Linked DNA regions of Nothobranchius furzeri. The protein of the gene in region 2 interacts with the protein of the main gene of each other region in a pairwise test. Links are inferred from orthologs where the notes say so. Each region holds a gene or a part of one and is shown on either strand. Other genes may lie near its edges.

Region 1 (4,069 bases), about 20 Mb from region 2:
GCCGTTTGTCCACAGAGGATTTAAAACAGTCGTGTTTGTGTTTCAGAGACGGATAAAAGACAAAATCTGAAACGTTTCTCTAGATTATCATCTTTAAAATCCCAGATTAACTGGGTGGGAAGCCCCGCAACCACCGAGCATAAAAGATGTGATTAAATCTGACAGGAAGCACTTCCTGCCTCAAACGATAACTTTAAAACCAACAGTCACCTGGAAATGATCTTGTTTCCTGCAGCCGAAGGCGCTGAGATTATTCTAATCTCTGTTAATCCGACTGATGTTTGAGGGGTTGTGAATTTAAGGCACCTGTAGCATCCTTTTGTTTGAGGCGCCCCCCCCCACATCAGGCTGTCAGCGGGTTTAGTGATGGAGGCGTGGAACAGGTGGACTGCTGAGGGTGACGCGTGCCTCTTCAGGAGCAGGGAGGAGTGAGACGTGGTGACATCAGGTGGCTGCGTGGACTCAGACGCTTCGTTAGTGCCGGGGGACGATGGCAGAAGGAAACACCTGTTGCTATGGAGACAAAAGGTAAACAAATGAGACGTGAGACCTTTCAGGTGCTGCTTACAGCTCAGGAATGTTCCTTTACCATTCCTGGATCGCCTCGCTGAACATCTGGCGTCCTTCTGGAGTAACCATGAGGCCCCGCTGTGTCCACCACCTAGAGACGAGAGAACAACAAAGTCCAGGTGAAACAAACCAGATGTTTATATCTGACCGCCATGTCTTTAGAAGACTCTGGACCTCTGCTGGAGCGTCCTCCCACACAGGCCCAAAGGGCAGGAAGAGGGGTCCATCAGCGGGCTGGTACAGATACTCGGACGGCTGAGGGTACATCACTGCGCCAGGGGGCACAGGCACCTCCACGGTATTCCACGGATACGGATTTGGGAAATTCTGCAGGGAAGCAGAAAGAAGGTTTTAGGTGCACGGGGACGCGGACGACTGCGAATCAGTGAAAGCAGCGCTGGTTGTGAACGGACCTGGAAGTGGTGGTACTGCTGCTGGTGAACGTGCTGATGGGACGGAGGCAGCATCAGGTTAGGAGCCGGCTACAAACCAAAGCAAATCTGTGTTTCCTTACGTGGTTAGCTGCTTCGGACGCATCCTAGTGAAGGTGGTTTCGTACTCACGGGCCAGAACTGCACATCTGGGCTCACGTTGGCACAGTGGAAGTACGCCATCCCATTGTTGTAGGTGTAGGGGAAACCTGTGGAGGTGGACATGACGAACGTCCCACAGGATACCTGAGGCACGGCGGGTCCAAGCGGGGTCATGTGGGTTCTCCTGGCTGCAGACAAAGCCAACAGTTACAGAGTCCGTCTGACCCAGCGGCTCGTTCGCTTCGGTTGTTCCAGACTCACGTCTTCCTGAGCCCTGCGGCCTTTTTATAGCACGGGCGATGCGGAGGATCCTGTCTCTGCAACGGATCCCACTCCTCTGTAAGAAACAAGTCCAGTAAGTTTGGATAAATCACCACAAACCCAATCGTCTGCAGCAGAGCCGACCACTCACAAGGCTCAGGACTCTCATGGCGTCTTCAGCTGTCTCAAACGTAACAAACCCGTACCTGTTCAGAGAGGAGAGCGCTCAGGAAACAAGCGGATGACTGGAATTCTGTCAGAAACACCACAAACACACACCCTTTTGATATTCCTGACCGATGTGACACGATCTTCACCTCCTTCACTTCCCCGTACTGCGAGAAGACCCGTCGCAGGTCGCTTTCATCAACCTTGAAGCACAAATATCTGCATTTTTTACGGCGTTACTGTTTAAAACCACTTGTTTCTGTATAGGAGACGGAAAAACCTCACCTCATCACCGATCCGGCCGACGAAAATCCCGTTAGGAATGATGGTGCCAGGGGTGTGGGTGAGACAGCTGGGGGCGTTGGCAGGGTCTGCTGGGAGTAAGACATCCGGGAGAAAGGAGGTGCCTCTGCTGAGGTGGGAGGACAGCGGCTGCAAAAAGAAGTAAGAGGGGTTTAAGCTGCAACGGTTTGGAAAAATCAGAAAGACGAAAGAAAACAATCATTATTAACTCTTCAAAAGACAACCAGCATAAAAGGGTCTTTTCAAGGTCACCGGCGGTCAGGAAGCGTAAACATCAGTCAGCTGCAGCTAACCGCCAACAAAACTCCTGTTTCATCTTAGTTCGTCAGTCTCTCTTAACACAAAACAACCGAGTTCATATTTTAGAGTAAAAAAAAAAAACGGAAACTGTTGGTAAAACGTGTCTGAACCTGAAATTGTAGCTTATTTGTTAGCATCTTAGCACCGCAAACGGGTCAAACTTTTACATTTTATGCTTTTTTACGATCGAAAAAACAAAATAGAAGTCTAAAAAAATAATGTATAATTAAACTTGAATTATAAAATTGTTATTGACGAGACGAAATCCAAACGTAACCATTTGTCAACTTGCTCGATAGTTTCTTTGCCTCCTGTTAGCAAATAAATGACGGGACTCACCGTGCCTTGGTCTTCCCTCTGCATTGTGGCGTTAATCTGAGTAGTTTATGACTGAAGATGAATAATCTCTGCAGACTGCAGGAACTGAGATGAAACAGGACCGAGCGCTTTAGCGGTTCTACTTCGACGGTTGCTTCCAAGGTTACGGCTCTTCCCCTGACGTCAGTTGGCAAAATAAAACGTTGGAAGTATTTTTTTTCCACTGAAGAAGTTAAATAATATAAAATCCCAATGCAAATGCGATATAACTATAAATGCAATATTTTTTATGTTTAAAAATGTATTGAAGTTAGTTTGGCGAACTAAGCTAAGCTAACTAAGCTAAACGCAAAAGCGGAAATGTACTGCACTTTCTGTCCGCTGGAGGGCGCCAAATATTTCCGTTCAGCAAATCGAGTTTATTTAAACATTTTTTAGAATATTTCCACACAAAATGACACAAAGTGATACTTGTTTTGAAGCATTTTTTTAAATAATTAGTCTAAAAGTTGTTTTTTTAATGTTTTAGTAGAAAACAGCCGAGTTTTCTGGGTAATAATTTACTTTGTGATTGATTTTTAACGTACAAAGCTTTATCTCCATGCAGTCTCAGTGGAACACGGTAAGATTAATTTAATAAAAATTAAATGAACTGCGCAATAAATATTTAGAAGTAAAAGGAAGAGCAAATGTTAAAACGTGGGCAAAAATGAACATTATTGCAGTATAATTTCCTGCCACACAGTGGCGACATTTCACTGCAAATATGATAGTTTCTGTTTCCATGAAGTTTGAAATGTTTGTGGCTGAAATGACGATTTGTACCATCTAATTTCACCAATTAATGTTTGGAGCCACAAAAGATATCCAAATATTCATATATACTGATAAATCACTAATTTATGTTGAACATTAAAACAGTTGTTCAGTGCAAAACTCAAGCATTTAATGCAGAGCATCCTGCTGAGAACGACCCACTTGACAACTTGCAGTGCTGCGAAAATGCATTTGTCTCCTTACAGCTTTATCTTGTTTTTGCTTTTCTGCCTCACTTTATTCACATGTCACAAAAGTTTTAACTTTGATGCAAACACCCACTTCGGAATAACAATTAACATGAGGTGTTAATGGTGATTTTAAAAGCTTGTGTCTGCTTTGGATGTTTGTCTGATGGAGCTATAATTTGTCAGTGATTGCTGTCATTTACACACCCCCACCTTTCCCTTCTCCTCCCTTAGGCCACAACAAAGCCGCTGCACAACAAACAGTTCACAGGTAAAATAAACTATTTTTGTTATATTTTCATAAACCTGCATGTTTGAGTTTCTTTTTAACAGAAAATGCAACATGCCATGAGTGTTTCCCACCATCACCGCCCTCATCTGAGTAATGTGGGCAGCTCCATTACTTGTCACTCATCTACAGCCTTTTCTAATTACCGGGTGAATGTGCCAACGAGGTCTGGCTGTGCAAAATGAGAAGGGCATGTTTGATAATTACAGCCATTTACAGCTAAACATCCTTTTGTGTTCCCTGGTGATCATTAAGTGCAGCTTTGAGACGAACTTTTACATGATCCGAGTAAGAGAGAAGAATATCCGATCAGATGTCCCCTT
Region 2 (3,500 bases):
AGCTTATAGAGCTCAGGAATAAAGTTAACAACCTCCTTGACAGCCTGGAGCCCCCCTTAGAGCCTGGTATGACTTCTACGGCACCAGAAAGTGGTAAGCACCTGTTCATGCTTGGTATCTGAACATATGAAGATATTCCTTATTTCTTCTAAAATTGCAGTCATTCCATCTGCACCTGTGGGTACAGTTGTTTTAATAAAAGCATTCATGTGTCCAGCAAGAGGGTGTGGTTTTATTATTATTCTTTTGTGCTTCTGTTTTGCTCTTATTCTTACTAAAATGAAAATTTTGACCTCCTTAAATCATGTTTTTTTTATATTTGACAGCCAAGTGAGACAGTTTATATTTGTTGGTCACTGATGGAACAATTAAGTACCATTTTTATAGAATATTTGCCTGAATCAAAGCACTGATTTTGCAACAGGCCAGTTCTGTCTGGTTTGCTTGCGGTCTAACCTGCCCACAGCTGTGCATGACATCAGGAAGGAGCTCTTTTCAGATTGCACTGATATTCAAAGCTTTATACTTGAGATACTTGAATAAAATACAGTAAAATCAAAGCAAAGTGATTGATGCAAGCGTGTATTTCCCCCTTTTATAAGTGAATGTTTACTTCAACTTGATGCATTTTTAGAGTCGGTAGATGGACGCGATGGTAAAGTTGCAGCTCCAGACTCCACAGTTAAACAGGCTCCTCCAGTCAGCGCAGCCAGCATGTCGGCCTTTGACCCATTAAAGAACCAGGACGAGGTCAACAAGAATGTAATTTCTTCTTTTGGTCTAAGTGAGGACCAAGCTTCAGGTATTCCACATTGTGTAAATGCAGATAAGTCGGAGCCTTTCATGTAAAGCATGATTTTCCTGATGTGTCTGCTTTTTGAGTAGCTGTCCCAGCAGTTGCAGCTGACGAGCGCTCAGGAACACCTGACAGCATCGCTTCCTCCTCATCTGCAGCACCTCAGCCAGGAGTGCCGCCTCAGCCACAGGCTGCTTATGCTGGAGTGCAGCAGGGACCCCCAGCTGGAATGGATGGTGAGAAGCATTTTACTCAAATTTGTGGTCAAATTATGAAAGATGGGAAAATAAGTTGGTAATATTCATCAGTATTTTATTTCTATAGCATCTTCCACTACCTTTGTAGTAGCCCACGGTGCTGTACACTATCACAATAAAAAAATAAAGTAAAAGTATAGTAAAAATATGTAAATAAAGGTTATAAGGCACAAAGTAACAAAAAAGCCTCTCGGAGAAGCAAAAAATATATTTACATTGTTCTTTTTTAGAGACTATTTTTAAAGTTTCATGCAGTTATTTACTATTTGTCATAATTATTAGACCCAAGTTTATTTCCCTAACTGACTTTATTTGGTGCTGATTTGTGAAGTAAAACAATATTTGGATTTGAACAAACCAAATGGAGAGAAATTGAAACGTTTCGGCGCAGGTCATTCTTTACACATTTCTACATGCACTGAGGGCTTGTTTCCTTTTCGAGGACTTTAGATGAAATTCTGTGTCTGAAGAAATAGTTGAATGAGTGATGACCCCAGCTAATCTAAACTGTGTAATCTTTGACAGGAAATTAATCTCAGGCAACCTTATCGTGGTGTTTGGACAAAGCTAAAGCCTTGATAATGAAAAATGAACAAAACACTGGCTGCCTGTTGGAAAAACATTTTTAAGTGCACCACAGAAGAAAATAGTCCTGCATGCCAATCACATGATTCCATTCTGGGGTTTTTGTTTGTTTGTTTTCAAAATTAAAGCTCATTTTTTTAATGTTTGGAGAAAAGACAGGTGCAACATCTAAGGCCAACGTGTTTGTTATTGTTGGCGTTGTTACACGCTTATGCTGGGTTGTTTTTTCTTCTGTTGAACAGAGTCACACAAGACACATTAAAGGTTGATGGTCTGATTCACAGAACTTAACCAGCTAACTTAGTTTAGTCATTTCAAATAAAAGCTAACTGTAACCTCTCAGGAAAGCAGCCGGTTTATTTGTTTCTGTTCAGTCTCTCGTCTAAGTTTAGACTGTAAATTACTTTGCCATAAGAGGCCAGCAAAGATTCATTCTTTCGCTTCTTAAATTAGCTGTGGTTGGAGATATGGACTTATCTTGTTGTTAAACATTTCCAAGCCCAATGTGGTAAGTTTGTCTCATCTGGTCCATGATATTTCTCTTCTTGGTTCCAAGGCTGCTGATGGTTGGTGCTTAAAGACAAACTCAGCTCTGCACAGTCTCCTCTTTAACCTTCTGTTTTAGATGCACTGTTAGTGTAACGTCCTCCAAGCCAGTTTAGACAGCTCTAATAAAGGTCCTATGTCATCCAAAATTCTTTTTCTAGAGCTTTTGACCTTGTTGTTTACTTTAAAAAAAAAACAAAGCAGCTTTTTGGCTTAGCACGTGCTTTTTCCTATCTCAGCTGCTTCTTCCCTTCAGATCTGGTAAACTCTGCTAAGCTATTGCAAAAGCCTGGATGGAACAATGTTGTTATTAAATTCCACTTCTCCCCATTTACATAGTCTCGATTCTGTATCCTTCCTCCCCTGGACTGTAAACACTAACGCCCAGCGTCTCTGTGTAGCTCATGGGGAGATTATACTCCACAGTTGTGATTAAGGGATTTCTTTTTTATTTAGTCTGCATTTTAAATATTACAAAAATGGATTTTTGTCCAAGAGGTACAGGATTCCTGTCTTCCTGCAGAAATGGTTGGATTTTAGTTTCAGGAGCTCTCAATAACTGAGCCAGAGTGTGACCACGATTTCACAGACGGCTTGTTAATCCACAGCCAGTAGCAGAGGGGTCGGCGTGAATCTGCCGTCTCCAGGTCTGCAGCTGTAAACTATTGTGGAACTCACACAAGTAGAGGCAGGGTTTGATCTAATCCAAGCATCTTCTTTTCTGGTTGAAGTAATGGTTCTCAAAATAACTTATAGTTCATTAAAAAGACATCTTAATGGTGCCAGCGGTAGTATTTTATCATATATTCTGCCTACTGTTGCCCTGGAAGGTGTAAATTTGTGATGATGATACAAGTCCTTTAAGATTTCAAGATGTGTGGCATTTTCAGTGTGGTCGGAAGCATACCTTCAACACAAGCTTAGGTTTCTTAATACCAGAAGAACGCTGCAGACAGGATTTATAAGCAGATGGTAAAGATAAGACCTGATGGATGAGTGAGCCGTAGCAATGATTCACATCGCTGCAGGAAAGAAAACAAAATGCATGTGGCTTCTTTTTCAGACGGGCAATTGTGTTTGGTGGGAAATGCTTGTTTTGGTGGAGGCATGCAAAGATGTCAGAGGATTAAAGTGAACTGCTTCTCTTTCACTTCTAGTGAAAATAGTGTTTATACACTGGTTTTTCCTGATGCTGAACCCTTGACTACTCCCATCCAGGCCCTAAGATTTCTAACCGCCATCTTTCCATCCCTCCTACATAACAGTCTTCATGATGGACTGCAGATGATTAGAACAAGAGAGAAAACCGATTTCAC

The links.
Region 1: the proteins of tfg (region 2) and protein boule-like interact in binary tests that used the Homo sapiens proteins (3 or more experiments, as listed by UniProt). The two-hybrid records come from large-scale screens. The link is inferred for Nothobranchius furzeri from reciprocal best matches to the Homo sapiens genes TFG and BOLL.

Annotation. Positions count from the first base shown.
Region 1 is NC_091754.1:47,836,584-47,840,652, reverse strand, and holds the start of protein boule-like, read right to left. Parts: upstream 2,801-4,069; 5' UTR 2,499-2,800; coding exon 2,475-2,498; intron 2,162-2,474; exon of another isoform or gene 2,066-2,161; coding exon of another isoform or gene 2,060-2,065; intron 1,965-2,059; coding exon 1,818-1,964; intron 1,736-1,817; coding exon 1,644-1,735; intron 1,571-1,643; coding exon 1,516-1,570; intron 1,441-1,515; coding exon 1,365-1,440; intron 1,292-1,364; coding exon 1,134-1,291; intron 1,053-1,133; coding exon 984-1,052; intron 898-983; coding exon 745-897; intron 662-744; coding exon 590-661; intron 514-589; coding exon 475-513; 3' UTR 1-474. UniProt on the Homo sapiens protein: Probable RNA-binding protein, which may be required during spermatogenesis. May act by binding to the 3'-UTR of mRNAs and regulating their translation.
Region 2 is NC_091754.1:27,499,524-27,503,023, forward strand, and holds part of tfg (protein TFG), read left to right. Parts: coding exon 1-93; intron 94-634; coding exon 635-802; intron 803-885; coding exon 886-1,032; intron 1,033-3,500. UniProt on the Homo sapiens protein: Plays a role in the normal dynamic function of the endoplasmic reticulum (ER) and its associated microtubules. Required for secretory cargo traffic from the endoplasmic reticulum to the Golgi apparatus.